Rattus norvegicus: one gene and its partners. The protein of the gene in region 7 purifies or fractionates together with the protein of the main gene of each other region. This does not show direct contact. Links are inferred from orthologs where the notes say so. Each region holds a gene or a part of one and is shown on either strand. Other genes may lie near its edges.

What was found.
Region 1: the proteins of Myh9 (region 7) and Ube3a purify together in Homo sapiens (affinity purification with western blotting; 3 studies listed by BioGRID, with this or other methods). This does not show direct contact. The link is inferred for Rattus norvegicus from reciprocal best matches to the Homo sapiens genes MYH9 and UBE3A.
Region 2: the proteins of Myh9 (region 7) and Gsk3b purify together in Homo sapiens (affinity purification with western blotting; 4 studies listed by BioGRID, with this or other methods). This does not show direct contact. The link is inferred for Rattus norvegicus from reciprocal best matches to the Homo sapiens genes MYH9 and GSK3B.
Region 3: the proteins of Myh9 (region 7) and Actb purify together in Homo sapiens (affinity purification with western blotting; 4 studies listed by BioGRID and IntAct, with this or other methods). This does not show direct contact. The link is inferred for Rattus norvegicus from reciprocal best matches to the Homo sapiens genes MYH9 and ACTB.
Region 4: the proteins of Myh9 (region 7) and Ctnnb1 purify together in Homo sapiens (affinity purification with mass spectrometry; 3 studies listed by BioGRID, with this or other methods). This does not show direct contact. The link is inferred for Rattus norvegicus from reciprocal best matches to the Homo sapiens genes MYH9 and CTNNB1.
Region 5: the proteins of Myh9 (region 7) and Usp11 purify together in Homo sapiens (affinity purification with mass spectrometry; 3 studies listed by BioGRID, with this or other methods). This does not show direct contact. The link is inferred for Rattus norvegicus from reciprocal best matches to the Homo sapiens genes MYH9 and USP11.
Region 6: the proteins of Myh9 (region 7) and Sptan1 fractionate together in Homo sapiens (co-fractionation; 3 studies listed by BioGRID and IntAct, with this or other methods). This does not show direct contact. The link is inferred for Rattus norvegicus from reciprocal best matches to the Homo sapiens genes MYH9 and SPTAN1.

Annotation. Positions count from the first base shown.
Region 1 is NC_086019.1:119,261,280-119,265,424, reverse strand, and holds part of Ube3a (ubiquitin-protein ligase E3A), read right to left. Parts: intron 3,439-4,145; exon of another isoform or gene 3,247-3,438; intron 2,718-3,246; coding exon 1,471-2,717; intron 1-1,470. UniProt on the Homo sapiens protein: E3 ubiquitin-protein ligase which accepts ubiquitin from an E2 ubiquitin-conjugating enzyme in the form of a thioester and transfers it to its substrates.
Region 2 is NC_086029.1:76,059,084-76,063,228, reverse strand, and holds part of Gsk3b (glycogen synthase kinase-3 beta), read left to right. Parts: intron 1-3,093; coding exon 3,094-3,224; intron 3,225-4,145. UniProt on the Homo sapiens protein: Constitutively active protein kinase that acts as a negative regulator in the hormonal control of glucose homeostasis, Wnt signaling and regulation of transcription factors and microtubules, by phosphorylating and inactivating glycogen synthase (GYS1 or GYS2), EIF2B, CTNNB1/beta-catenin, APC, AXIN1, DPYSL2/CRMP2, JUN, NFATC1/NFATC, MAPT/TAU and MACF1.
Region 3 is NC_086030.1:16,775,012-16,779,818, reverse strand, and holds Actb (actin, cytoplasmic 1), read right to left. Parts: upstream 3,156-4,807; 5' UTR 3,084-3,155; intron 2,144-3,083; 5' UTR 2,138-2,143; coding exon 2,015-2,137; intron 1,928-2,014; coding exon 1,688-1,927; intron 1,222-1,687; coding exon 783-1,221; intron 693-782; coding exon 511-692; intron 387-510; coding exon 243-386; 3' UTR 185-242; downstream 1-184. UniProt on the Homo sapiens protein: Actin is a highly conserved protein that polymerizes to produce filaments that form cross-linked networks in the cytoplasm of cells.
Region 4 is NC_086026.1:129,516,085-129,520,750, forward strand, and holds the start of Ctnnb1 (catenin beta-1), read left to right. Parts: upstream 1-1,491; 5' UTR 1,492-1,633; intron 1,634-1,828; exon of another isoform or gene 1,829-1,957; intron 1,958-4,666. UniProt on the Homo sapiens protein: Key downstream component of the canonical Wnt signaling pathway.
Region 5 is NC_086039.1:4,029,446-4,033,426, forward strand, and holds part of Usp11 (ubiquitin carboxyl-terminal hydrolase 11), read right to left. Parts: intron 3,868-3,981; coding exon 3,694-3,867; intron 3,605-3,693; coding exon 3,446-3,604; intron 3,106-3,445; coding exon 2,881-3,105; intron 2,761-2,880; coding exon 2,677-2,760; intron 2,584-2,676; coding exon 2,489-2,583; intron 1,299-2,488; coding exon 1,092-1,298; intron 214-1,091; coding exon 164-213; intron 1-163.
Region 6 is NC_086021.1:33,687,312-33,691,456, reverse strand, and holds part of Sptan1 (spectrin alpha chain, non-erythrocytic 1), read right to left. Parts: intron 4,007-4,145; coding exon of another isoform or gene 3,992-4,006; intron 2,601-3,991; coding exon 2,469-2,600; intron 2,271-2,468; coding exon 2,133-2,270; intron 1,039-2,132; coding exon 934-1,038; intron 1-933. UniProt on the Homo sapiens protein: Fodrin, which seems to be involved in secretion, interacts with calmodulin in a calcium-dependent manner and is thus candidate for the calcium-dependent movement of the cytoskeleton at the membrane.
Region 7 is NC_086025.1:111,228,183-111,232,327, forward strand, and holds part of Myh9 (myosin-9), read right to left. Parts: coding exon 3,929-4,145; intron 2,846-3,928; coding exon 2,633-2,845; intron 2,528-2,632; coding exon 2,315-2,527; intron 2,062-2,314; coding exon 1,900-2,061; intron 992-1,899; coding exon 863-991; intron 1-862. UniProt on the Homo sapiens protein: Cellular myosin that appears to play a role in cytokinesis, cell shape, and specialized functions such as secretion and capping. Required for cortical actin clearance prior to oocyte exocytosis. Promotes cell motility in conjunction with S100A4.

The DNA of each region.
Region 1 (4,145 bases), on a different chromosome or scaffold from region 7:
CAATACCTTTATTACAGAAAAAAAAAAGAATATAAGAATATAAGAAGAAAATAATGAAAAAAAATCAGGAAGGACAGGTGCATAATTTTTCTATTAAATGTGGATTTAGTCCAATCTTATGGCTTTTCATATTTAGACAAATCCACCCCAAAGATAAATGTTCAAATAACTAGTATGTTAGTTATTCATTAATGGGTTATAATTTGTTAGAATATAAGGATGATGCTTCATTTGTAACTGGTACTAAATCTTACATCAAGTTAAACAAAAAGAACTAGCACTAACAAGAATAATTAATACCAAGGAATACCCTGAATTCCTTAAATATAATTTTGTTAACATATGACTGGCAATTTCCAAACCAATTTTCTGGTTTAACTGATACGGACTCTGCAATTCTTGTCATCTGTGGAAAGAAGGAACAGACAAGAGGCAATATCATTTGGTGGGGGAGGGAGGGGGGAAACAGGCAGTTAGAAGTTCCTGACTTCCCAGTTAAATCATATAGATTTAACTAACACTATTAATATTAATTCCAAGTCACAAAAATAGCTATTTTACATTAGTTTTAAAATTCACATAATTATTATTATTATTTAAAAAAAAATCCTACAGTGTCAAACAAGATACTGGGTGGCTTAGAACTCCAAAGACTTACTAGTTAACATAGACTAACCTTTCCTGGTCATATCATCAAGTTCACAATACAACTCTGAGTTGTATTCTACATAAAGGAATTTGATGAGCAGTTTTTAATTCTTTTACAATACAGATTTATTGTATTATTTCTTCCAATTACACCTACTTCCATTCTTAACATTGGGTATAACAATACCATTTGTCATGTGTTCCAATCTTTGAAAACAAATCTTTTCTTCTTAATGGAAACGTGTAAGGCTGGCTTTCAAGATTTAGAAAATCCATTCCTTTTGTTTGTTTTGTGCCTGTCAGTATGCACATGTGTATGCATGTGTATGCATATGTGTGTGTGTAAAGGCCAAAAGGGGGAAATATTTGTGTGGAGGTCAGAGAACGTCAAGTATTAGTGTTTGCTTTCTACCGAGACAGGGTCTGGTTATTTTTCAGTTTACATATGAGGTTAGCTTCTGAGGATTCTTCTGTCTCTACTTTCTATCTTGCTTTAGAAAGTAGTATTACAAATGGAACTATCATATCCTGTTTTACATGTGTTCAAGAAATCCAAGCGTAAGCCCTCATGTTTGCACAACAAAATGTTTATCCAGTGAGTCATCTCCCCAACCCTAGAAAATTTATTCTTGTTCAAAAGAAAATTATCATTAGACAACCAAGATACCAATATTTTTGGTAAGTAGCAACAAAGTTGGAGTAATATAAATCAGAAATGTTAACATGATTCTATCTTTTTTATTCAAAGTTAAAGAATTCACTGAAATATAACACTCTGCAGCTTTTAGTTTAAGTCCAATTTTAAATAATAGTCAAACTTACCCGGACAAGTGCATCATCTATAATATGGTCACGTCTGACTTTAAGTCTCAAATATGGATTCAACTGCTGTCCTTGAACTAGGCTGTAAAGAACAGTGATTCTTCTTTCACTGTACATGCGAATTCTATTGTCATAATACAATCCCAGATTCTTTGTGACAGCATTCAATATAAAGGGACATGTCATAAAAGAGAATTTGTTCTCTGTTTCAACTTTGAAAAAAGTATAATCTTTGTCCATTTCTAGAACATCATTCAGTGGTTCATTAATGAATTCTTCAAAGGAGATAAGTGGTTTTCGACAATCTAGAGTTTTAACGCCAATTTCGGTTTCTAGTGGATCCACTCGAGGACCTTTCTTATTTCTTCTTTCCTCTCCCAGAAGCTCCTGAAGTGTCAATTCACTGGACTCAGGTATAGGCTCTTCATCATCTTCCTCATTATGATTTGTGTCCACGTCCCCTCCCACTACATTTGCATAGTAAACCATTTTCAAACACTTTGAAGCAGCAACAATGGCATCATCATCATTCACTAGATTTCGGCTATTAAATTCATTGCTTATGACTTTGTAGGTAATAAGTTGCTGAAATGTTTCCATCATTCTCCGAATCTGGTCAGCACTGTATTTAGACCACAGCCTAATCAGTTTTCCTTGAGCTGCAAGGGGTAGCTTACTCATAGCTTTGCAAAATAACGGCAATGCCATTTCCAGATATTCAGGACTGTGGAGATTCCTATTTTCCATTACAATAATGAACAAATTGAGATAATTAGGGTCTCGAGTGTACACATTATGATATGTCAAATCACATTCCACGTTAGGTGACAGATATACAAGTGCATTCAGGAAGGCAGTTTCTATTTTTTCATCAGAGAGCAAACTGCTGTAGACCCTTCTTATAGCATCAATATCCACAGTCACATCATCAGGACCTAATTTTTGTACATTGTTGTCTCCCTGTGAGCTATCACCCATCCTTGAAGAAGATGCTTCTGAGTCTTCTTCCATAGCAGCAGCAGAACACGCAGCTTTTTCCTTTTCATCTTCATCCTTGTCTTCATCCTTCTCTTGAAGAGATTTCAATTCCTCCTTAGTGTGCTGTTTGACTTTCCGAAAGCTCTGAACCAGTGCCTCAGCACTAGAAAATATTCTTCCAATTACACGAATTAAAGGGGAGTAATCCTCTCTCTCCCTACAAAATTCATAAATTTCATATACTTTCTCTTCAGTTAGGTAGTCCACCTCTAGAAAATGGAAAGAAAAAGAACATTTATTATTATAATATACATGTTTATTTTGTTATAATTTTTACTGAACAAATAAAATATCTAAACATTCTGAATTTGATTTAGAATTTTTAAAAAAATGTAATTTACTTATTAACACCCTAAAATCACCAGCTCCTTTTTTATTTAAGTAATCCCAACAACCTCACCCTTTCTTTGGCACTCATTCAACATATAATTATTAATTATGCATTGGTAATTTAAGACTTGCCTTGTAACCGAGACATGTACTGGTATGTAACATTTATTGTAGATATGAACAAATATATATATTTATCATTTCATCACTGTACTTTATTACAACCTTACCGAAAAGCTACTATGCTAATAACCTAAAATCATTTTCCTTTACATTGTTCTCAAAAAACTAAGGAGGCAAGGTTTTACAAGGTTTCCTCAACCCCTTCATTTGCAATCAACTCTTTCTATACTTTTGTATATCGTAAAATCAAACTGACTCATGTTATGTATTCTTCATTTCTTCCAGAGTTTTCATTCTGAAGCTGAGAAAAAGATATTACTACTCAAGTAAACTCTACTGAAGTTAAAACTGCTACTACAGCTACTACTACCTATGACCATTATTTGGGTTCTAATAACTCTTAACAGAGCAACTAGAAATTATTACAGTCATTCAAAAACAAATAAAAGGAAGAAGCTAAGAGAGTAAAGACCACAAGCACCAAAATTCATATCTATTTTTCTCCCAGGAACAGATTTGGACCATAAATCTCCTAGCTTAGGGAAATTACTTTCAACAAAGGCTTTACCATTTCGTTAACAAAACAAAAGATATTTTATCTAATTGGGAAAAGATGACATTTTATATACTAAAGTCTTACAAATTAATATATTTATCAAATAATAATGCTGAAGCCAAACTTAATCTCTTTCATCAAAGAGTAGCACACTAGAATTATTAAATTAAACATTGAAGGTAGTTTAATTTTTTTATTTACATTGACAATATATCCCATACATTGATAATATGTCTAACACATAAATATCTTTACTATGATTGGTACATTTATTAAAGGTACCTATTCAACAGTAAGAGACAATATAAAATTCAAGTCCTCATTAATAGAATGGCTTCCAAAACATAAACCACAAAGCACTGAACTGTATATACTACAAAACTGATCTATGGACTGTTCTAGAGTATTGACACTTACTTATTTTATGATCTTCAATTCTTTGTTTCAAAAAATGCTCTATTTACTTATTAGGGGTGATGAAGCTATGGAGTTGAATGGATAACTGAATGAGTTCATTTTCTCCTTCTATACTGTGAGTCCCAGGCATGAAACTCAGTTACATGTACCTAGCTGAGGCAGCATGGCAATCCAAGTTCAATTCTTTAGTCTACTAAGAAATGTAAGAAAA
Region 2 (4,145 bases), on a different chromosome or scaffold from region 7:
CAGTTTTAAAGCATGGAGTTGTTTTAAAGCTTTCATTACTCAGCAGTGGGTAAAGGTGCTTGCTGTGGGAGACTGATAACTGGAGTTTTATTCCTGGACCTACGTGAGGTCGAAGAGAACCAGCCTCATGAAGTTGTCCTCTAATCCTCCACGTGCATATCCCATGTGTGTGCACACACATGCCCATGAGATAAAGGAATTGAATAAATATTCTGATAAAATATGGTAAAGCTTTCAAAGTTAAGGATTTTAACTGTGATAGCCATACACCTTTGGTGTGGTGTGGGGAGGGGAGCACAGGTGAATTCAAGCCAGAGTCAGACTCCTGCTTTCACCTTTACCTTGGGCTGACCTCTTCTTGGGCCCTGTATAAGCTTTTAGTTGGGTTTTGTCTTGGTCTCTCTTCCCACCAGTGGTGGGATGGCAGCCAAGTGCGCCTCGTCCCAACTTCATGCATGGTGCTGGGGAGTCAGGGTGAGGTTTCCGTGTTTGTACAGCAAACTCTTTTACAGCGAGGCGGCTCCCAGCCATAGCATCACTTTCGCTCTCAGTGTTTTCGTGTGCCACACACCACAAATACGTAAGTAAACTCAGTCTCCACAGTTCCCGTGTAGCATTCTATTACTGTTTATTGCATTCCTCATAGACATTTAAACTGCCCGTTTTAAGCAAACAGATTATATTATTTAGGTGTTGGAATCTCATATTAATCCCTCCCCCCCCTTTTTTTTTTCATGTAACTGTAGTTAGGAATTTATCTAGTATTTTTCTAATTGCAGTTGTGGTAGATGATGGGAAACTTTTTTTTTCTTTTTAGGTGAGAGATAGGGAAGGGGTGGATAGTGTATTGCCCTGTAGTTCAGACCACCCTGAAACTTTTGATACTTGTAGCAATCCTCCTGCTTCAGCTTCCTGAGTGCTGAGATTATAAGTGTGAGTTACCAAATCTAGTTAGGAACACATTTTTAATATGTGTGCTGTCAACTAGGTGCTGATTTTTTTTTTCTATTTCTCAGTGACAGCAATATAATTACCTACTTTACCCCACCCCTGACATAGAGCTGATGTGGTGACTGTCATAATGCTGCCACTTTCCACTGAAAGTCATTTAAAGCAGGGGTTAGGAGGGAGCATAGCTGAACTCTCCCCGGGATCCCGAGTAAATCATCGTATGGCCAAACTCTAATGGAGAGGAAGATTACTCATGTGTAAAACTGTGTGGGGTGTACTTCCTGAATGGGTCCAGATTTTTCCCAGCACAGGATTTAGTCCCTCTTTTTGTCCTTCACGGGTTTTCTAGCAGGTTCTAGCATCAGGTTGTGGAGCAGGCAACAATATAGAGATGCCATTCTTTTTTTAATTGAAAAAAATTAGTTAAAGGACAATGTATAAGTGCATAGGGAGTTGGATTTAATTTAATTCCAAAATGCTGACATTAAAGATGTTATGCCTACATTTTTGTCATGGTTCATTTTGAAGAAGGCTTTAACTTGGGTAGTGAGATTTAAATCAAAATTGAACCTGTCTAGCCTTAGCAGTTTTCTCATACCTCTGAAGGAAGTATTTCCTGTTAACATTAGTAATGCCAGTCCCTAGCAGTACAGTCGGAAAAGATGGTGTCTTTATCAGTACTTCTCCTGTTTTTTTAATCAGACAGTAGTAGTTTTGATTTCCATGGTATTAAGTAGGGAGTAGAGCTCAGAGAGTGAGCGTGTGCAACAGATTGGAGGTGATGATGCTGGAGAAGGCAGCACATGTCTATAATCTCAGCACTTTATAGACTAGAGGATGACAGGACCAGGGCCAGACTGTATTCCATGGGAGTCTGTCTTAGGAGAGAGGAAAAATGAAGGAAGAAGGAAGGAAGGAAGGAAAAGAAGCTTGGCCTCCAGATAAGTAGAAGATTAAAGGCGTTACATTGGTACATTTTTCAAAGCTTTAAAACAATCTCTTAAGATATTATTTCTCTGCTTGCTCTGATGAAATTCCAGACAAAGGCGACTCAAGGACAGAAAGGTTTATTTTGGCTTAATAGTTCTAGGGGATACTGTGCATCGTGGTAGGGAAGGCATGGTGGGCGAGCATGGGGCAGCTAGCCACATTCAGAGAGGATACACGGTGCGTGAGCTCCTTTTCTTCTCTTACTCAGTTCAGGTAGCTAGCCCATCGAATAGTGCAGATGCCCTTACAGACATGTCCAAAATTGTTTTCATCGATTCCAAGTACTCTCAAGCTGGCAGTTAAGATTTACCTCTGCAATGATGTCAAGTCAGCTAGACATCTGTTTGTGTGTGGTTTTTTTTTTTTTTTTTTTTTTTTTTTTTTTTTTTTTTTTTTTTTTTTTTTCTGTGTAACCCTGGCTCTCCTGGAACTCACTCTATAGACTAAGTAGGCCTTAAAACTCAGATCTGTCTGGGCATCTGCCTTTAAATTACATTGGAAGTCTACATTATTCTAAGGATGTTAAAGGCTAATTTACCATCCGAGTTACTGGTGTCTCAGTAGGAATTGATAAGATTACTTACTCATGAGCTTTCCTATGTCTCTCTTAATGATTTGAGGCTAACTTTTCAGAAAAACATTTCAGAAAAATGGTTCTAAAAGATGACACTGACTACATTTTTACAGCCTGAGATTCTAGGAAGAATGATGGATCTGCCTCCTAATCTAAAGGCTGCTGCTGTCTATCACCCATATGGCTTCTGATCTCTGTCTCTGTTAAGTTAAAACCCAGCTGGCCTGAGTGCAGGGCTGTGGGCATGCTAGGCAAGTGCTCTAGATCCCTGACTCTCTGAATCTTAGTGTGAGACCTGGTCCGACTTGCCCAGGTAGTTCTTAAACTTAGAATTCCCTGCCTCAGGTGTGTGCCCCCACACCTGGATGCTTTTCTAAATTACTGAAGGATAGCACAGGTATATATTTAATGATAGTTTAATTTCCTGATTTATGTAGAAATGCCATGAAACTTTGATTAGGGAAAACTGTATTGATAATCAACATTTTGCATGTTCTGCTGAGAACGTTATATACTGCATAATGACTCAGATGTGTTTGAAAGCAGGGGTATCGAGTGAATGTCTCTTCTTTTTCCAGTTGTATATGTACCAGCTGTTCAGAAGTCTAGCCTATATCCATTCCTTTGGGATCTGCCATCGAGACATTAAACCACAGAACCTCTTGCTGGATCCTGATACAGCTGTATTAAAACTCTGCGACTTTGGAAGGTGAGCTAGCCTCCTCTTCCCTTCCTTTCTTCCTCCTCCCTCCCTCACACTTTCTTAAATAGACTCCTGTAACAGTACTAGTCTGAACCGCACTCATTACTCGGTACTCGGGGAATACAAACTAATGAAGGTCCATGTCAGAATGGTTTTGATAATTTTATGGGAACAATAAATGTGTGTGCCCTTTATCCTACAGTTAACTTCTGAGGATTATTTCTTTATGCATATTTAGGGATCTTTAATACAGTGTTGCTTGCAAATATCTAGTAGCGAGAAAATGTCCAAATAAATTAATATATACAGATACAGTGTTACACATGCTGCTGAGGGAAAAGTGAGGGAGCTGTCTAATGTGGGAGTGATGTCTAGGAAGTACCAAGTGAGGAAGTCAGTCGGCAAAGGCACTTGCTTTCAAGGCTGGTAACTTGAGTTTGATCCCAGGGACTTAAGTTGTCCCGCCTGCCACAGGAGTGCTGGAATGCTAACATTCAGGCTCAAAAAGGCCGTGGCGGCACTTGCTGATAATTCCAGTCACTCAGTAGATGTGGGAGGTCATTAGTTTGAGGCTGGCCTAAGCCAGGTAGTGAGACCCTGTGCGAAAGGAAAGCCTCTGTCAAGTCAGTACTGTATGCATGGTAGCTTTTGTTTTAAAAACCCTTTTGTGACTAGTGTGCAAACACACATAACAAACATGGCTTATTCTGAGTTGATATGTAATACCTCATACACGATTGTCTGGGACGGGATGTTTGAGGATTATCGTGTACTTGGGAAACTTACATTCCCAATGACTGCTCTTTAGTATAAACTCCTTGAGCTTATGGAATACATATATCTGCTCCATCTTTATTACTAATAAATCTCTTAAGTTATACATTTGCATATATTCCTTTAACTTCACACTCAACCTCAATACAGGAG
Region 3 (4,807 bases), on a different chromosome or scaffold from region 7:
TTTGGGGGATGTTTGCTCCAACCAACTGCGGTCGCCTTCACCGTTCCAGTTTTTAAATCCTGAGTCAAAAGCGCCAAAACAAAACAAAAAAAAAAAAAAACCTTTTTAAAAAAAAAATTTAAAAAAACAAAAACAAAAAACAAAAAAACAATAAAGCCATGCCAAATGTCTCATTTTTTTTTTCTGCGCAAGTTAGGTTTTGTCAAAGAAAGGGTGTAAAACGCAGCTCAGTAACAGTCCGCCTAGAAGCATTTGCGGTGCACGATGGAGGGGCCGGACTCATCGTACTCCTGCTTGCTGATCCACATCTGCTGGAAGGTGGACAGTGAGGCCAGGATAGAGCCACCAATCCACACAGAGTACTTGCGCTCAGGAGGAGCAATGATCTGAAGAAAGCAAGACAGTGATTGTGAGCATTCTGGATGCTGGGTTGTTCCTTAAGCCAAGAGAGTTGGCTACAACTACAGGGCTGACCACACCCCACTATGGGTCCAGGCTAAGGCTGCTTACCTTGATCTTCATGGTGCTAGGAGCCAGGGCAGTAATCTCCTTCTGCATCCTGTCAGCAATGCCTGGGTACATGGTGGTGCCACCAGACAGCACTGTGTTGGCATAGAGGTCTTTACGGATGTCAACGTCACACTTCATGATGGAATTGAATGTAGTTTCATGGATGCCACAGGATTCCATACCTGAAAGGAAAAGCAAGAGAGATCAGACTTACAGTGTGGCCTCCAGCATTGGTCACCTTTAGATGGAGAAGGGATGAGACTACAACTTACCCAGGAAGGAAGGCTGGAAGAGAGCCTCGGGGCATCGGAACCGCTCATTGCCGATAGTGATGACCTGACCGTCAGGCAGCTCATAGCTCTTCTCCAGGGAGGAAGAGGATGCGGCAGTGGCCATCTCTTGCTCGAAGTCTAGGGCAACATAGCACAGCTTCTCTTTAATGTCACGCACGATTTCCCTCTCAGCTGTGGTGGTGAAGCTGTAGCCACGCTCGGTCAGGATCTTCATGAGGTAGTCTGTCAGGTCCCGGCCAGCCAGGTCCAGACGCAGGATGGCATGAGGGAGCGCGTAACCCTCATAGATGGGCACAGTGTGGGTGACCCCGTCTCCGGAGTCCATCACAATGCCAGTGGTACGACCAGAGGCATACAGGGACAACACAGCCTGGATGGCTACGTACATGGCTGGGGTGTTGAAGGTCTCAAACATGATCTGTAGAGAAAGGAATACAGTATTGTCAAGCTCCTAAAGCCACAAGAAACACTCAGGGCAGGTGAGACTGTAAGGATAGATTTGAGTGAGACATGCAAAGAGGGCAAGAACACAGCTAAGTTAAGTGTGCTGGGAGTATCAGGACAGGGGCTCCATTTAGACCTACTGTGCATCTACTGAATACACACTCCAAGGCCATTTATCACCAGCCTCATTAGCTTTGTCACACGAGCCATTGTTAGTACCTACACCCACAGCACTGTAGGGGTTTAAAACACCTAGTCAGAAAGGCGATCGAGAGAAAAAAAAGACCTCATCTGGGAAAGAGCAGAAACTGCAAAGTTCCAAGGGAGACTCAGCTCATAGAAGAGAGTCCTATGGGAGAATGGCAGAAGAAAGACAATTGAGAAAGGGCGTGGCTGAGAAGTTGGCCCAATAGAGGGGAGGGGTCACCCAGGATACTGACCTGGGTCATCTTTTCACGGTTGGCCTTAGGGTTCAGAGGGGCCTCGGTGAGCAGCACAGGGTGCTCCTCAGGGGCCACACGCAGCTCATTGTAGAAAGTGTGGTGCCAAATCTTCTCCATATCGTCCCAGTTGGTGACAATGCCGTGTTCAATGGGGTACTTCAGGGTCAGGATGCCTCTCTTGCTCTGGGCCTCGTCGCCCACGTAGGAGTCCTTCTGACCCATACCCACCATCACACCCTGCGGAGGAGAACAACGTTCTCAGCACTGGCATCGACCCCCAAGAAAACCCTAGGGCTGCCACTCCCAAAGTAAAGGGTCACTTACCTGGTGCCTAGGGCGGCCCACGATGGAGGGGAAGACGGCCCGGGGAGCATCGTCGCCCGCGAAGCCGGCCTTGCACATGCCGGAGCCGTTGTCGACGACGAGCGCAGCGATATCGTCATCCATGGCGAACTATCAAGGCACAAAAGAGGGCTATGGTCACCGCGGAGCCGCCAAGAGCAGCCGCTGCCGCCCTGCCCACTTCCGGCAAGCCGCGGCCTCGAGCCGCCAGGGGGCGCGCGCCCAAGCTCAGGGGACAAAGGAAGCGCAGGACAGCCGCATTATTACCATAAAAGGCAAACGCTGGCCCGGAGGCGGACCCACGGCAGGAAGCCAGGCCTCCGCCCCCTCCCCAAACGGGCACAGGCCCCGCCTACACTGAGGCGACGGGCGGCTAGTGCGCGCGCGGGAGGCGACCACACCCAGCAGGAAGCGCGAGCAGGCGCCCTAGCCGCTACGACCCCGCCCCTTCCGGGCAACGGCCCCGCCCTCGCCCAACCCGGGGCGGCCGCGCTCCTAGTCTCAATACGCACGCGCAACTCTTAACTCGGAAGAGGGGGAGAGGAAGAGTTCCCTCCCCAGCGCGCACGCGCCCCAATGCCCAGTGATAGAGCGCGCACGCGCAATGGCATCCCAGCCCCCACCCGGCCGAGCCGGCCCCGCCGCGCCCGCCAAGCCGAATGGGCAAAACCGGTTTGGACAAAGACCCATAGGCCATCAAAGCGTGATTGTAACGCCTGACTCCCAATACTGTGTCCCCTCAAGGTGGACAGATGCGGCTTAACACCCGCAAGCCGCACCGGCTCTCCAAATGCCCACACCGCGACTCTAGTGTGTCCCCAAGCCCCGCGCACCAAGCAGGAGCGTGCCCACGAGTGTCTACACCGCGGGAATACGACTGCAAACACTCTACACCCTAGGCGGAAAGTTAAGCTTTGCCAGTGTCCGCTCCGCGGCCCGGTACCACGCTCCACCCCTCTACGGTGTCCCTTCTGAGTGTTCCTCACGATCCTGCAGCGAGGTAGTGGCCAAGGTAAAGTTGGGGCCCGCTGGGCCCGACGTCCCTGCTTACCTGGTGGCGGGTGTGGACCGGCGACGGAGGAGCTGCAAGAAGGTTGTACTCGCGGGTGGACGCGGACTCGACAGTGGCTGCGCGTTGCGCCGCCGGGTTTTATAGGACGCCACAGCGGCCACTCGAGCCATAAAAGGCAACTTTCGGAACGGCGGGCGCTGATTGGCTCCGCGTCGCTCACTCACCGGCCTCGCCGCACAGTGCAGCATTTTTTTACCCCCTCTCCCCTCCTTTTGCAAAAAAAAAAAAAAAAAAAAAAAAAGAAGAAAAAAAAGCGAGCGAGAGAGAAAGCGAGATTGAGGAAGAGGATGAAGAGTTTGGCGATGGGTGCTGGTTCCGTAGGCCCAGATGGACAAGAATAGCCCCCGCCCTTGTGGACACTATCCCATTCAGTGACTCGGTTACTAGGCCTGTATTCTGGGGGTCACCCACCCACCCCAGGACCCTCTGGGTGTGGATGTCACGGGAATAATGATCACCTAAGTGGGCGAGGGTCAGCTTGAAGGCCCGGACCCTATTTGAGTGGCCTTTTGTTTGAGGGACACACGGGGTCTGGATTGAATGGGCAGAGAGTCACTCCCCCTTGCTAGCAATAGTCAGGAAAGCCAGATCTGGGGGCCTTCTGCTGCAGTTCTAATTTGCTAGGTGTGTTGGGGTACAACTTGGAAGCAGAGCTGTGGTTGGGAAGGTCTTCAGGGATCTTGACCACTCAAGGCCAGAGTCCCAAGGATAGGGCAAGCCCCGGTGGTCCAGTGACTGGAGGTGTTTGTTGCAGGAAGATGCCTCCAGATATCCTCTGCCCCGGACCTAGAAAGGAACTGTGCTCAATCGAACAAGCAAAACTTCTCATGGAGTCCGGCACTTTTGGAGGGCTGCCTGATCACACCCAGGCAAGACTAAGCCTGGGCCGTTAGCTAGTGGCTCTGGGTGACTGCCAGGCATCGTTGGGCTGGAGCCCACCATCTAGCCTCTATGTATTATGTGCAGCCACAGCTGAACTGTACACTGAACTGTTCATCTGCTGGCCACGGGGACTCTGGGAGTGACAAACTACTCAGGGAAGTGCTGGTGGTCACCAGAGCCCCAAATCCTCCAGAGAGAAGAACCCCCTGCTCTCCTCACCTAAGTAGGAGAGTTCTGCTCAGGAAGCTAGCCATTTGGCTGATAGCTACAGCAGGGGATCAGAGTTGAGGGTCGGGTCCCTCAGCTTAGCTTAGAAGGACGCACAACTCCTGGGAGAGAGTGACAGAAAGCTATATTTAGGCAAGGAGAATGCTTCAGGTGGGATGCTCTGGACCTGCCATGGCTTTACACATGCATAGTAGGTGTGCACTGGCTCACAAAGTGTAGGTGTTGAAACCAAGGAAGGCTTCATCCATATATGGGCTACAGTGGCTGTGCATGAGGAGGCCAGACCAGCTTCCTTGTTCTAGGCTTGTGGCAGGGCATTTTGAAGTTGCAGAGGCCTCCAGTCTGGAAAGGGTGACCACCACTCCAGCATACTGGAAACACACCCCCAGGTTCAGAGCGACTTTATCTTTCCCACACACACACACACAAAAAAAAAAAAAAGATTTGACAAAAGTCTTCTGCAGTCGCCAACCCTGAGAGAACTTTCCCAGGCTGTCCCCTCCCTGCCTCCGGGGGATGGGACTGCCCTGGCCCTGGCCTTGTATCTCTCAGTTGCTCAGGCAGTTTGCCAGCTGCCTAAGGACCTGCCAGTC
Region 4 (4,666 bases), on a different chromosome or scaffold from region 7:
CGTTCCCCCCCCCCCCCCCCCGGTTTTTTTTAAAGCTGAATTGGGACACAGAAAAAAGAAGCAAGTGTCAAAAAAAAAAAGATAAGAAAAGAAAGAGAAAGAAAGAAAGAAGGAAAGAAGGAAGGAAAGAAAGGACACCCCTGACAGAGGTGAAGTCAGCTATCTAATTTTAAAAGCAGGACCTTAATCGAGTCGAGCAAATATTCTTTAACTCTGCATGTGACAATTAAAATTAGGGATTGGTGGCTGCAACCACCACTGGTAAAATACCTTTTCCTGACCCATCTCCCCGAGTCAGCCAAGTGAGCCCCAGCCAGCAGCAGAGTTGATTCTGTGGAAATCCCAGCAGAGCTGCAGAGGGGAAAGGTCTAGACAAAGGCCCTCACTGAGCAGCTCCTTCATGGTGGACTGTGGTGGTTCACAGAGTTACGGCGATATGTCTTTAAGATAGGAAATTGAGTCATTTAAAAAAGAAGCTGGCCGTACAGCCCTGGCCCTGCCTCAGTGGTTGCGCAGGCTTCCTGCCAGTACCTGTACATAAGGGCCTATTGTTTACTTGCGTTAATTACAGCGCAGGATGAAAGAAGGCAATAGGGCAACTTTCGCTGTTACCATTGTTTGGGAAGAGACACGAGCTCACAATAATAGACTGGAGACAGCCAATTCACCCCAACTGCACCAGTTTTGACAAGTGCCAAATCGTGGAGGACAACAATGAGGCCATTTCCAAGAGAAGACCCAACTTCAGCCTATTGTAATGATTCAGAAAAAAAATAATGCTCTCGAAGGATACTAAATTAGTTTTGAAAATTTTAAGAGGTTATCCACAGGTCCTCTCAGCAACACACTCGAGTTTCTCAAACAATACAGTAAAAATTGCAGTCCCTGGAAAACGTCCCCACTTCTGGTTCTGTAGACACTGACCCAGTGGGTCCGGGTAAGATGGGATTTCTAGGAATCACACTGATGAACAGGGCCGTGGAGCTGAATCATTTATTCTAGTTAGATGTCAGCAGTCACTCCTGGGGACTCCATGGCCTCCTGGGGTGGGGAGGAAAGGTGGCTGGGCTCCGAGATCCCTGTCCGGATTCTAGAGGCACGGCAGGAAGAGGAGCGGGACACTCCCGCGAACAGTGAAGTGTAGTGGGGTCCAGTGGTGGTTTAGGGGTGTGGCGGCCGAAGCCCCGGTGACTACAGTCTCGAACCTGCGCCAACAGTGGCCGCGCTCCACCCGGCCCGCAGCGACGGACCGCACTCGATCCCATTAGTTTCCACTGGAGCGGGGTCGGGACGCCACGCCCCGGCCCGGCCCCTCCCGGCGGCGCACGCGCAGAGCGACTCGGGCCGGCGGGGACTACTTTCCGCGGCCCGCCCGCGCCCCGCCCCTCGTCCTCGCGCGGCGGAACGCTCCGCGCGGAGCGGCGGCGGCAGGATACACGGTGCCGCGCCGCTTATAAATCGCTCCTTGTGCGGCGCCATCTTAAGCCCTCGCTCGGTGGCGGCCGCGTCAGCTAGTGTTCTGTGCAGCCCGCGGCCCGGGGAGGCGGAGACGGAGCACGGTGGGAGCCGAGCCGTCAGTGCAGGAGGCCGAGGCCGAGCGGGCGGCCGCGAGGGAGTAGCGCGCGGCCCCAAGGTACGGCGCGGCGGCGGGCCGACTCGCGCCGCGCCAGCGGGAAACTTCGCGGGCCGGGTGGCGGCGGGAGGCCGCGGGGACGCGCGGGCTGGGGCCGGGGCCGGGCGGGCGCGCGCCGGGAGCCCGGATGGACGGGTGGCCGCCGTGGGGGGTGGGGACCGCGGTTCGTGTCCCGGCTGGGGCCGCGGCGGGGGCGGGGTGGGCGGGGGCCCCTCCTCCGTGGCCCGCAGAGCCGGGGGACGCGGGACCTGGCACGCGTCCCCTCTGTCCCTCGTGGAGCACGCACAGATAGGTCTTTTTTTCCCCCCCTGCAACGATCTGACTGTGAGTTTGAATCCAAACAACTTTAAACCGTGGAGTCGCCAAACTTGGATGCGGCGTGCGGGATGCGTCGGGAGCGTGTTCTCGGAGGGTGGTGGCGTCCTGGACTCGCGTGGGGTCGGTGGCTGTGGGGCCGAGAGGTGCTGGCGGGAATTCGGGACCGTGGACGAGTCACCGGCCACTCCTGGGGGGAGGGTGTGCGCGGGACCCGAAGCCTGAGTTTGGGGGAGGGGGACTTGCCCTTAGCCAGTAAGTGTGGGGTCCGCCTCAAGTGTTTCTCCCCGGCGCGTTTGCTTTCTGGGCGAGATGGAGTGGCCAGAGCGCTGACCGCCAGGGCGTGGGAGCCTGGAGACTTGTTCTGAGTGTTGTTTGGGGGACCGGACTTGGAACCGACGCTCCAAGTTCGGTGCCCCAGGCCCGCTCCCGTGAGCCCGCTGGCTGCGGGGCAGCTTTGTCTCGGGCTCGGGTCTCCAGACATCTGTGGGCTCCCCTCCCCCGCGCCCCCCGCACCCCCCCCGCCCCCGGGCCTGAGCTCTGAATGGAGAGCGACTGGGCTGCTGGTATGCGGAGGTCGGCGAGAGGAAATCGAGGAGTGGTTTTAGTGAAACGAGAGCTTTGTGCCATGAATAATGGTGGCTTAGACCAGACAGCAAGCTGAAGAGACGGCAGCGTTGCCTTTGATAAAGTCTGCCTCATGTTTTTCACATGGCCAAGTTGTGAAGCATTTTGTCTGGGATTTAGGAAGCCATTTCTCTATTTACTTGAGGCTTGCAGACGTCTCGGTGCAGACTCCTCGTCCCGGGAAAGAGCTTGCCCTCTTGGTTCTGATTTAATGCTGCTTAAACTTGTAGCCTTTGCATTTCGATTTTGTATGTCGGGCTCAAACTTTACTTGAGTTAAGGTCTTCTGTTACATTTAGTTCATTTTCACCTTAAACATTCAGAAATCCCCCAATTAAAAAGAAGTACCTCAAGGTTTGTTTGAGGACGTCCTTTCTCAGCAGAAAACATTGATGACAGTGCTGGGGATAGTCATTCTGTGACCTAACCTTTGTCCTGAAGGCCGAGTCTGGACAAGGCCTTTAGCGGTGGCAGGGAAGTTGGAAACTTGTAGATCTTTCTCTACAACTAACCCTCCCAGGCTGAAGTCCTTGAGGAAGCAGGCTATCTGGGAAGCTTAGCTTGCCTGGGACAGAGTCCTGGGCCTCACGGTCTGCAAGAAGACCAACCTCAAGTCCAAGAAATAGAGTTCACCTGTCATCTGGTCATTTCTAGTAGATAGTCTAGAGCAGCGGTTCTCAGCCTTCCTGATGCTGCGACCCATTAACAGCTTCTCAATTGTTACAGTAACCCCAACCCCAAAATTACGTGCTTGCTGCTCCATAACTTGCTACTGTTAAGAACCATAATGCAAATGTCTATGTTTTCTGTGGTCTTAGGTGACCCCTGTGAAAGGGTTGTTGGACCCCCAGATTGAGAACATTAGTTTAGAGACTGAATATTGGGTATCAGATGTCTACAACTCGAGGGGAAGTGTCTCCTGCTGTAGTGACGATGGGACTAGATTGGGAATGAAGCTTTAGCACTAGTTTCAGAATGCCATTGGCGGGGTGGGGTGGGGATGAGAAGACAACTTTCTTAGTATTTTGAAATGTGTGCTCAGAAAAACTGGTGGAGCCCTTTTGCAAATAAATGCAGAGCAGAGCATGGCCAAGAGGCCTGTGCACACTGCAGGTGGGGGTGCAGTGGTGGGCCTACCATAGTCTGCTGCCATACTTTTAAGCAGGAAGTGGACAGTGAAAGTAGATGGAGTCAGATGAAATGCTAGTGCTGAGGTGAGGTCAAGGTCTCTGCCCATCACCTAGTGGTAAATTTTTAGTGTCCTTGGTCACTGGCTTGGTCAGAAACATACCTGCGGGATAAACTCCTGGTAAACAAGTATTCACAAACTCGTTACAAACGTACATACGTTTTAACTCCACTTTTTGTTTGTTTTGTGGCTCCTGTCAACTTGTTTGCTATTTAAAACAATCTCACTGAAGACATCTTTATGCATAGAGAGAAAATAGCTGAGCAGCTGCCTCAGTTCTGAGGCCTGTGGAGGCAGCCTCTGTCCTGAGACATGGTCAGCCATGAGATGCTTCTGTTCAGTAACACCATTCACGGTGTGATTCCTAGATCAGCTAACAGGTTTTACAAAATGGAAAGTGATTTATGTCAATTGGAAGTGGATCAGAACTTCTTTACGCTCCGGAAAAAGGTCTTCATTTCTTGTTACCTAAGAAAGCTGCCTATGTATGTATTCATTGCAAGACCGGGCTTCCCTTGGCTGGGAACCCAGATTTATCTGCGGGGGTGGAACTCTGGAAAAAAGCATCTAACCTTCCATGAGGAGAAAGACTTTTTAAAGGAAGTAGGCAGTCCTGCTAGGACTTAGCCACTGTTTTGGAACTTAGTTGTCTCTTTTAATTAAGACTCATTTCCCAGTTTCAATTGAGACGGCAGTGCTGTAGTCATGTCCAGCGCCCCCCGGTGGACAGAACACAGGTCACTTTTCCTTGTTCTCAGCAAGTTTGTGTGGAATGGATCCTGAAGACTGTAAGGTGAACCAGTTGTGCCAGTCACTAGACTGGCCTGGGACGGTAGCTGCCTCTCTGCAAGAGAGCAGTCTGTCAGGGCACATCTGCTTACAGTAGGAGCCCAAATGCTCAGG
Region 5 (3,981 bases), on a different chromosome or scaffold from region 7:
AAATGTGGGTACTCCAGGGAACTGGGCTTCAACACATATCTGGAGGAGCCTGTGTGTGTCATATATATCCCCCAAAAGGGATTCTCAGCCCTTCACCCCTGTTATGTAAGATACACTCATCTTTATTGGGCCTCTCTCACTTCTCAGCTTTTAGGGGACTCACCTTTCTCATCCCCATCATCGTCATCTGAGGTGGGTTTGGTCACATATCGTCTGTAATAGAGCAGAGAAAACTCCCAAGGCAGGGGCACAAGGGTAGAGGGGCATCCCAAAGTTTTACTTGGTAGTATGGTCAAGAAGTCAGGACACACACATGCAAGTCTCCCTCCCACCCCCAATCTGTCTGTTTTTTAAAATGCCATGTGAATGCTTCATACATTCCCAACACTTTTCTGATTTTATTTTAATTTTGAGATAGTGTTGGTAAGTTACTCAAGCTAGCCCTATGTGGCTTCTCCTGGCACAGCTGCCCAAGTAGCTGGAATGCACCACCAAACCTAGCAGTTCTTAATCATGAACCTGGGAAGTGGTAAAACAGCAGTGCATGAAAACACCAGTAGTGGCCTACATTCTTTTTTTTTTCTTTTTTTCAGAGCTGGGGACCGAACCCAGGGCCTTGCGGTTGCTAACCCAGGGCCTAGCGCTCTACCACTGAGCTAAATCCCCAACCCCGGGGCCTACATTCTAAAGCTGATATACAATCAGTTATGAATTAATGTCAAAGAAGCCTTTTGAATTAGAATAAAGCATTAATCCAGATAATATAGCTTTTCTTGCCTTCCATAGTAAGGACTGTAGACTTTAGGTAAAAGGATAAAACTACATCCAAATGTCTCTGTAGAGACAATTAAATACAAAATGAAGTTGTCTCTACTTTTTCTTGTCTACCTCTGTATTCCTAGGACCAAAGAGAAGCACTAGAGAAGCCAGAGGTCTAGAAAAAGAAAAATCCCTGCAAAGCCTACTGACATGTTCAATTTGAACTATCCTTTGGCTGTGCCAAACAGCAACTCAGAACTGAAGTCTGAGTACTGACCTTGGTCCCCTACCTCAAATCCACTTCTCCCTGCCCCTAGAAAAATGGTACTTACGAAAGCCGGTACATCAAGATGTTATATAGGCCCTCCCAGGAGAACCGGTCCCGGGGCACTGACACCAGGAGAGGGTGCCCAAAAAGTATCAGACCGTAGTAGGAGTTGTTGTAGTCTCTGGACGGGGTGCGCTCCCGCAGGTAAACAGGAACCACAATATCATCTCTTGAACCCTCAACAGGCTCAATCCGTCCAGTCACCTCATATCTGTGTGTGTTAGGGGGAGTAGTTAGATTTTTTCTTGACTGAGGCATCCCAAGAAAGATAAACCCTCAGTTGCTTCATCCATTCATCTCAGTCCAAAAAACTATGAGTTATTTTCATTTGAATTATTAGTGTCTGTGTGTGTTTGTAGGGAGTATACACATGTATGATACATACACATGTGGATATCAGAATACATTTTCAGGAGTCAGTTCCTTCCCTCATCATGGATTCAGGTTGTCAGGGTTTGTGCAGGTGCTTTTACCTACTGAGCCATTCTACCTGCCTCCCCCAAGTATTTTATCATTATTTTATGTGTATGAGTGTTTTGCCTGTATGTACATCTATGTATCACATGTGTGCTGGTGACTGCAAAGGCCAAAAGAGGGCATCCCTGGTGCTGGAGTTGCAGATGGTTGTGAGCCTCCATGTAGGTGCTGGGAATTGAACTTGGATCCTCTGAAAGAGGCTAGTCCTCTGTCTAGCCTTGTCCCAAAATATTTTAAAGGGTCTGAAAATCCATGAAGGACTTGGTATTTTATAAACTACCAGACAACTTCCACAGCACTTTTTTTATATGCCGTTTGAGGAAGAGCCTTGCTAACATGGAAATGCTTGGAGGAGAGTAATAAAAACAAGGATGGAAACATTTTCTGGTGGAAAACACTCATTTACAAAGAAAATTTCTACTCACACCATTTTAGTTGCTCCAAATTTAAAAACTGTTGTGGGAAGCAGGGCATAGTTCCGTGATAGGGCACTTGCCCAATATGCAGGGAGCTTGGGCTCTAAATAAATAATGAATACATTTTTATCGGAGCAGGTTGTTGGACATAATGGCATACACCTTTAATCCCAGCACCTGGGAGGAAGGGGCAAGATGAATCTCTAAGTTTGAGGACAGCCAGGGCTACACAGAGAGACCATCTCTCTCTCTCATGATACAGATCTATTATATAGATATAAATATTATATATACTTATATATATTCATGTTTATTTTCTACACTTATAAAAGTATTGTATATATTATATATACTTATGAGTATATATATGTATTGAACTGTAAGTGTAGCTCAAATGTTAAGAGTACTTGTCTAACATGCTTGTGCATTCTGGGTTCTATCCCCAGTAGGGCAAAACAAAAGGTGGGGGAACCATCCTCTATTTATTCGTATCGGTTTCCTCACTTACACAAAGATATCATCACGATCCAAGATGCCACTCAGAGGATCCTCCAGCTGGTAGAGCTTATAGAATCGGTGACTGAAGACATCAGCTACTATCATCTGGTAATAGGAAAAGGACATAGGGACAGTCAGTGTGCAAGGTTCTTTTTCCTTTAAACCCTACCTGCCCAGCCTCCCTCTTCAAAGTCTTACCTTATCTGGTGCAACACTTGTATGTGTGGACAGAGCCACACACAGATCTGAGATATTGCCCTTCTTAGGGACTACAACCCGGTGCTGAGGAGAAATAACATCCACAGAAGATCAAAGGAACTTATAGTAGGTTAATATAGAAAAGCTTGAGGAAGGCAATCAAATTCTGATTTAATGTCCCTCATTGTGTTCCCATAACCCCACCTGTTCTGGCTTGCGGCGGGGATCCATGGGGACAAAGAAGACCTCCAAGACCCTCCTGGAGCAGACAGGCAGTGGGACACTGAGGTAGCAGAAGGGGTCAAAGGTCACAGAAACATTGCCACAATCAGGGCACACCAGTGTAGACTTGAAGAGGCCATGGAAAGTGTCCACAATCACAGAATCATTTCGTCGTTTGTGGTTCTGCCAGGCTTCCTGAGCCACTTCCTGTTGAACAAATGTCATGGTAGGTTAGGGGAAGAGGGGAAAGTTTGGGGATGGACTCATAGGGGTTTGAGGTAAAGGACTCTGTTGAAGCCTAGTGGCAGGGTCACAGCTAGATCTATCTGGAACCCATGTTCCCTTTCAGAGCTGGCATTTTGCATGAAGGACAGGAGCCTGACTGGAGTTAACTCTAAGATAGGTATGGGGACAGATTTAGTGCTATGACTAAGGTTGAGGTGAAGGTCAAAGTAAGGGAATTGAGAAAATGGTAAGGTATTAGATAGACTGGGGAAACCAGAGACTTCCTAAGGCAGTGGCCATGTAGCTTTAATGGGTAGCCTACCAGATCAGGCCGCCCAGCACCATTGCATAGCTCAACATATTCTTTCTTTTTGACTCGATTGAGGTCCTCATGTAGTCCATCCAGGAGGAATGACAGTAGTTCCTGTGAGTCATGCTGCTGGTAGCCCAGAAACTGGGATGCGAAATGGCCAACCTTGTTCTGAAGAGACAGTAGATAGGAGAGTGAGCATGAGATAAGAGAAGCAAGAGAAAGGATGGTGGGAGGGAGCCCATGGGGTTGAGACACACCTTGAAAACATTCGGCACAATGGAGCGGTGGTAGCCAGACCAAGTCTGCTTTACCAGATCTGCATAGGCCTCAGCAAGCTCACCCTTCATGCCCAGAGGGTTCCGGAAGTTGAGCTCCTCCAGGTAGCGGTTGTTGAGAAAGTACTCCGTAAGCTGTGGCACATTGCTGAGGCACTGTGGTAGTAGGGCCCAATGAAAGAGGTAGAGAGGTAGGGTGGCATAGGTAAAAACAGAAAAGGAAGGGGGAGAGAGGGAAATGAGAGAGAGAAAGGTAAGGGGTTGCCATTG
Region 6 (4,145 bases), on a different chromosome or scaffold from region 7:
TCAGAATACCAATATTTCCCAAGTGAGCCAGACATGACTGAATCCCAAGTGGATAGGACCCATTCTATGCTGGGATAGACCAAGGACACAAAGACAGTTTTAATGTAGTTCAGTGTGAAAACTGATTCTACTTGGCTGTGAACAGTTACAAATCTACTATCATTACAGGTGCTGGCATAGAAGCTGAGGGAAACTGTTTCCCAGGATCTGAATCTGATTCCCCCTCCCTTCAGCCTGGCTGTGCCCATCACACCACACAACAACCAAACTCACGTGTGTAAAGTCCAGACCTCCTCTGTAACATATCCACTAAGAGATCTGTATGCATGTAACCAATGCTGTTCTCACCCGGTCCCCTTAGAAAAACCATCACCATTCATGCAAATGTGCTTATACTATAGAACTAGTGCTTGAATTACTTAAAGCCATGGATGTGATGTAAGTGCTGTCACCTCAGCATGTGGGAGGCAGAGGCAGGACATTACAGAAGTCTGAGAATAGACAAAGCTATACATTAAGAGCCTACTTCCAAAATAAAGATCTGGGTGTGACTGGGTACACTTTTTTTTTCTTTTTCTTTTTTTCGGAGCTGGGGACCAAACCCAGGGCCTTGCGTTTGCTAGGCAAGCGCTCTACCACTGAGCTAAATCCCCAGCCCCTGCGTACACTTTTAACTTCGTACTCTACTGTTCCACTGAGCCAAGTCTCTAGGCACAGCCCGCCCTCCCCCTAAATTTTCACAATGATTAGAAGTTACAGATAAGATCTGTGGAAACCCAGGCTGAGAACAACCAAGAACCCAGCCCACTCACAAACTGCGGCCTCGGGTGCTGGGGATCACTCTGCTTCCTTTAACTCTATCTCTCTTGAAGACCCTGGGACACTCTGGGGTTCTTTCTAGTCACCCTCCCCTCCATCTGTCACCCCACCGACCTCGTGGGCCGATATGTCTGCCTCCAGCAGCTGATGCTTTTTGAGCAGGTTGTTCACGGAAGCCAGGTCTTTGCCGTAGTCTTCAGATGCCAGGAGAGCCTCCACCTGCAGTTGGCAGCACAACAGGAGATGTTATTACAGGACGCAGTGTTCTGGGAAACCCAGGGTGGCCAGGTGCTGCTCCAGGCCTTTTCAATCGTAACATTGGTTTTGTTCTTCAATTTTTTTTTTTTATTGTTTTGCTTTTTGTTTCCAAGACAGGGTTCTCCGTGTAGTCCTGCCTGTCTCAGAACTCGCTCCGTAAACCAGACTGGCCTCAAACTCAGAGCTCCACCTGTCTTTGCCTCCTGAGTTTTGGGGTTAAAGGTCTGGGCCACCACCACCCTGATTGGTTGGTTGGTTCTTCTTCTTCTGGGGTTAAGGGTGTACCCCAAGGAGTTCTGCACACTAAGTTAGGTCCAAAATGACTAAGGAGCCTGTTCAGAGTAGGGATGGAGGCACAGCCCCCAAGCCTTCTCTTGAATGCCAGGGCCAAGAGCACAGCAAGCTACAGCAATGAAGCTCCGAGTACAAGGACACAGATGAGCAGTGTACTAAGAGGTCCGCTGCAGCCTGCACTCTAGAAACCCCTTAGTGGCAGCCAGACGGCAATGCTTAAATCATGGTAAGACTCTTTGGACTCTCTCATTCTCAAATGTTTGGGGGAGAATTTTAGTGACATGGGATAACACTCCTCCATACATACCAATGAAAAATGACAGTGCGAGCTCAACCATACAAAATTTGCATATATACAGATGGGAGATTCTAAAACGTTCACAGTGGTGGTCTCTAAAATCCCCCCTTGCCAGTTTCTGCTTGCCAATTTCCTATACAAGCCTGGACTCCGGCTCCCTTCCTCTCTGTCCTTTGTTCTATTGGTGCAGGCTCCTGGAACTGCCTACCTCCCGTGCCCAGCCTCTTCCTCTATAGACTCCCTTGGGGAGAAGTCTGCTATCTAGCAATTTCTGAAATCAGCTTCCACTCTAAATGTCTCTACTCACCGTTTCAGCAATTCCTAGCAGCACTCTGAACCTATCACACGATGAGGACTTCTGTTCAGTTCCCCTTTTATAATTTGGTCTGGATGACTGAATCATTCACTACCCAAATGCCTAGAAATCCCCTGATCACAGGGAGCAAGAACCACCTCACGTTACCTCAGAAAGCCAGAAGTCAAAGTCTTTGATCCCGGTGTTGAAGTTCTGCTGCTTATTGGCCTCTTTCAGCTTCTGGCTCTTCTCAGCTGACTTCTGCACCAGGAACTGCCACTGGTCTGCAAGGGCAGCCAGGCGGGCCTTAAGAAGAGATGGGGGGGGGTCACTTGGGATAGGAAAATCTCTGAAGGGCCCATCCCTACGACCCAAATCAGAGACAATCAGAGAGGATGTGGAAACAATCAGAGGAACCGTGTTCTTGAGTTCCAGAGACTGTAGCCCAGTGGACGGTAGAGTGCTATCATTCTTTCTAGAGTCAGTATGGGCCCCAAACCATACCTTGACAGCATCCTCACTGCCAGCACAGGCCCCACGCTCAATGAGGGAGTTGCCCATGTCAATAACTCCACGGATTCGGTCAGCATTGGCGTGCAGTTCTGCCTCAAAGGCTTGGTGCTTCTGGTGCTTGCTCTGAAAATACCAAACCACAGTTCAGAGGCAGTCCTCAAGGCAAAGGGATGCTCAGGAGAAAAGGAGTAGAGGGAAGGTAAGGAATAAGTCAAGCATTGGCGTGGACAGAAAGCCATCCCAGCTTGTGTGGTGCTGTGGAGTGAGGTCTATGGGAGCCCAGCAGAGGTAGGTTTAGGCCAGGAAGGGAAATGCACTAGTCAGGGGCAGTGGGGTAAAAGCCAGTCCTAACGGCTCACTAGCAGGCTGGGAGCAAAGCCTCAAAATTTTGTACTTTTTTATACTCTGTATGAGATAGAGGGGTTGATTTCAGTTGATTGCATCTAACTGTGTACCAATGTCAACCCATGCCTTTATCCTTCCTGGACAGAGCCCCTGACTGGTAATGTACATAGGCTACCCCACCACCTACAGCAGGAACACATCTGAAGACAGTTCCTCTGTCAATGAAGATTTGGTGGCTGTCATCAGTCAAAACATGAGGCTGCTAAAACCCAGTCTAAAAGGCAGGTGGGCTTTACCTTTTAGAGAAATCGGGGTAGGGGAGGAGGTGGAGAGAGGGGGGGTCCCTAAGAACACTTGAGAGAGGTAACTGTGAGGATACAGCAGCTACAGCAAAATTCTGTGAAAAACAGGGCAAGTGAGAAACAGTCTCAGGGATGTTACTGAGAAAGAAAACTAAGAGAAAACAAGACAGTTTAGTTGGCCAAGAATTCTGCACTCAATGTTTCACTTGAGAGGCAGTGACTGCTACAGGGAGGGGGTCCTGGCTGCGGCTCAGCACTAGGACTCAGAGATCTCATCCACAGATCCTGGCAGTGCCGTCTCCAGTGCTTACTCTCACCACTGTTGGTCCGAACTCAATCTCTCTCTTCTACAGCCTTATTTCCTCCTCCCAGTTCTGGCATGGTAAGCCATGTGGAACAGGTGTCTCTTTTAATGTCCTTCCTAACAAGGCCTGCTTAGGTTTGGAGCACATCTTGCTACTCCAGTTCTCCAGGCCAGCATCTCTGGACACCAGTCTGAGTAAGCATCGGTTTACCCCAGGCTAACCTGCCCTGCCCAGGCCTTGACAACTTGAACCCAGGAAAACATTCCACTTTCAAAAGCACCCCTTGAAAGGAAGTGGTCAACCACTGCCTCCCAAATCAAACACGGCAGTACAAAACCTGCATGGATGATGAAACAGGGCGGGGACAGGGACTGCACGCTAATTACAACAGAGAAAGCCACATCTCACAGGGACACTTGGATGGAGTGACTGGAGATTAGACTGATGATGGATGAATAGACACCAGCAGACTAGATGTAACCACAGTAACAGTCCTCTACAGAGTAGAACATAAGTCCCAGAGCTCAAACACCCAGAACTCTTAAAAGTGTAAAGAACTTACCAGCAGCTTGGAAAGCTACAAAGACAGATGGAAAGAAGAGTTCAGTACACTGATGTGGACATGCCTCAGCTATTAGAGCCTCGCTCTGCCAATCACACTTCCCCACAAGTTCAGCGCTTGGGAACAGCACAGGGGCAGGTGCACTAGACATGTT
Region 7 (4,145 bases):
CAACAGTCTTCAATGCCAACAGCCCCCTCTCATTCTCTGTGCCCTTAGCACATTCCTCCGTTCCTCCATAAGCCCTTTCCCAGGAGCTCCTCTAAGCTCTCAGGTCAAGTCCACCCTAGGGCATAGTGTAGGCCTGTGTTTATAAAGCCCCTGTGTCTAAGAACTTGGAGTGAAGCCAGGAGCCAGGGCTATAAACAGGAAACGCCCAGCCCAAAAGGGAGGGCTGTGTAGACAGACCTGCAGTGCTGGTCCCTCTGCACATGGTCAGACCAGATACTGAGGTTTATGAGGGAGGCTAGAGTCCAGGGTCCTGTGCCCACCAAGGGCAGCAGATGGGCTGTGGAAGCCTCCAGAGCACCATGCATGGTGGGATAATGGAGGGGTCACCCCAGACCCAGCAGGGGCAAAGAGCCATGCCAGGGCAGAGGGTCTGACTGAGCACTCATGAACTGAGGATGGCCCTTTCCTCCAGACCTGGAAACACCACCCCACCCTCCCCACCACGCGGTTCCTGTGTAACTAAAACAGCACCCAGGGGGCACTCAGGCCCCTCCTTGCCCTTCGCAGTTGATAGAGAATCATAATCAACTCAGCATTGGCTCGTGAAATTAACTGGGGACTCGAGGGTCACAGATTCATTTAAGAGAGGCGGGGTCTGTAGCCACATGGAAGGCTGCGTCTCACCCTCTTCCCCATTACAGATGTGCACATACATGAACATACCACACCATGCACCATGCCAAGGTGTGCAGCTCAGTTTCTTTCTGCCCTTCCCTCCCTGCTGACTCCTAAGGACAGGGAAAGGCCCCAGGCTGCCGCTTGCTGGCCAGAGGCAGTGGCCCTGCATCCCCCGCTGGCCCACCTCCTGCAGCTGAATCATCTCGGCCTCCATGCTCTTGAGCTTCTTCTCATTCTCCTTGGCCTGGGCCAGGATCTCCTCCCGGGAGGCTCGCGTGTCGTCCAGCTCCCGCATGCAGTCCTTCATCTGGGCCTGTGTGAAGGAGGCGTCAGCATCGCCAACTACTTCCGCCTGCTCGGGGTCTTGACCCCTTAAGGGGCCATGTCCCCAACAGTGACCTGCTCTACGCCTGGCATGGTTTTAGCCAACCTTTTTATAAACAGGCAAAAAAGTAACCAAAGGCAAGTGGCTCTGCACGTCTGTCTTCCTGACTAGACTTAGAAGGTGGCTCTTCAGGGCACAGACCCCTGCACACAGTGTAACCTGGGCCCGTCTGCCTGCTCTAACTTCCTGTTGGCTTGCAGCTAATGCCAGCGGCATCATCCAATGTGTCGTCCATGACGTCCAGTCAGTGACCAGGGAAAAGCAGGGACAAGACACGAAGTATGCTTCCTGCCAGGTAAGGCAACAACGAAGCGGAGAGCTCGGTCCCCTGTCCCCTGATCTGAAGCAGACAGGCCTCACGATGGCATACACCCTGAGGGCAGAGTGTGACTCCTGTTATGTGTGACTCTTAAAAACGCCATCAGCAAGCTGACCTTCTTGCTCACAGCCTTGCCCACGTGATGGTTAATCTTTCTTCCTGCTGCTACACTCGGCATGAATGGGCACACAAGAGCTGTTTGTACTAATGTTAGTCTTTGACCACACTGGTGAGTGAAAACTGCTCCCAAGTGTATGTCTCAAGCTCTGAGCCACTTCTCAGAGCCACCAGCTTAGACCATCCATCACTGAACACTCCGGTCTCTTCCTGAAGCCTGAGTGTGTGTGGCCGCCATCCTTGACTCTACTGCACGTCCAGCTACCTTTCCTCTTGACTTAATGGACTCAGCCCCCTCTTGTTACTGTGTCCCTTCTGAGCCCGAGCCTCACCTGTGAGACAGGCCCCGACTCCCAGCCTCTACCTGTCCCCATCTGTGACCAGCCTGGGTCTGCCTCACCTGAAGCTTCCGTAGCTGTTTGATGGCCTCCTCCCGGTTCTTGTTGGCTGTGTCTATGTGAGCCTCCAGGTCCTTCAGATCCATCTCTAGTTTCTTGCGAGCAGCCATGGCAATGGACCGCTGCTTCCTCTCATCCTCCAGCTCCGCCTCCATCTCCCGCACCTGAGGAACAGCAGGGCTCATGCTTAGCGCTCACTGCTGAGCACTGAGTTCAGGTGAGCTCAGACCAGTTCTGGGCTGTCCATGGGGCCACCCGAGACAAAGTACAAAGTAAAATTGCAGAGCCCTAAGACAGAGTCTGAGAAACAAGGCAGTGGAAAATGGTCCAGGAGCCCCTCCGAGGCCCAGGTGTTGCACAGGGGGACAGAGATGCAGTCCCTGGTGTCCCTCCCCATAGCGAGGAGGCCATACGCACCTGTCTGACCAGCTGCTTCTTCTTCTCCTCGCTCTGTTCATCCCGGCCCTGCAGATCCCGCTCAAACTGGGCCTTCATGGCCTGCAGGTTCACCTCCAGACGGAGCTTGGCATCCTCAGTGGCCTGAAGCTCATCCTCCAGCTCCTCCAGCTGGGTCTTCATCTCCTCGACCTGCTGCTCCAATGCCCTCTTGGACTTCTCCAGCTCATGGACCTAGCAGAGCCCCATGTTAGTTACAGACACGAACAGCTAGGGGCCCTGAGCTCCAACCACACACACCAGGCTCCCCCGAACCCAGGACGCCAGCCCAGCACTCACGCTCTTGCCCACGTCATCCTTGGAGCTCATGAGGTCCTCCATCTCCGTGCGGAACTGCTTGTTGAGCCGTTCTAGCTCTGCCTTCTGCTCCATGGCCTCCTCAAGTGCCCGGGCCAGTGACAGTGCCTTTGTCTCCTTCTCACGGGCCTCAGCCTCAGCTCGGTCTCGCTCCTCAGCATACTTGGCTGAGATGGTCTTCTCCTCAGCTAGGAGCTAGGGAAAGAAGTCTTGCTGTGAGGCTGAGACTGAAGACCACTACCCTACGGCCAGACCCAGACCAACAGGCCCAAGGCTGCTACCCAGGGGCTCGCTGGCTCCCGGGACGGCAAGGACTCCTGTAACACTGTACTTTGATCTTTGTTTAAATTTTTAACGACTTTCATCTGTGTGTGCACACACATGCACACACAAACGTGCATGTACACATACATGTGCATGTGCTGGTGTCACTAGAAGCCAGGAGAGTATGTTGGACCTCATAGAGCCACAGTTACAGGTGGCTGTGAACTGCTGGGTGATAGGAATGAAACTCATCTCTTAGCAGCTGAACATCTCTGCAATCTCTCTGCTCAGTCCTTCATTTATGTTACCCAGTGAGGATGCCCACATTCCTGAAAAGCCGTGCTCAAAAGCTTAAATCCCACGTGTGGTCCTTCTCCAAAGATGGCTGCACCACTGTACCTGTTCTATGGGGCCCACCCTCACTATTCCTCACCTCCCTGCCTTCCTAGGTTCTCTGCCCACCTTCACCTGCTCCACAGATTGGGCCTCTCATAAAGAACATTACTTAGAGGTTGAAGGCTGTAGTCTCTCAAAGCAGCCATTCAGCTCTGCCACTTATCACACTAGGAGCCAGTGGCAGCATGTAAACAAGTGTAGCTACATACAATGAAACTTTATCTGGAAAAACATGGGGACAGGAGATGGCTCCACAGGTAAATGACAGAAGATGGACTTGTGCAAGTTGCCCTCTGACCTCAGCACATGCATACATGCACACACACTAAATGACTAAGTGTAAGACAAACAGAAGTTTTAAGTCACAGCGGAGGGACTGGATTTGTCTACCACGTGTTGACCCAGTTGTTTTTTTACTATTATTCCATCTGACCCCAGTGTCTGCATCTCCATGGGGGAAGGAGGGCTGGCCAACGTCTAAAACCTGCTCCTAAATCCCCTTCTGGTTACTTCCTCCCCACGCCCCTCATGAAGCTGCAGACTGGGGGGGCCTGGCTGTGCCCACCCCACCGCTCTGCCGAGGGGAGAGGACATAAGAAGGTGGCAGGGAGGCCATACCTGGTCAAACTTCTTCTGCTTCTTTTCCAGGTTGGAGACGCTCTGCCGCTGGTGGTCCAGGTCCACCAGCAGGTCATCCAGCTCCTGCTGAAGCCGGGTCTTGGTCTTCTCCAGCTTATCATAGGCAGCCACCTTCTCCTCAAGCCGCTGGCTCAGGCCTTCCAGGTCCTTCTGAAGCCTCCGCTTTGCCTCCTCTGCTGTCTCCAGGCACCCTACA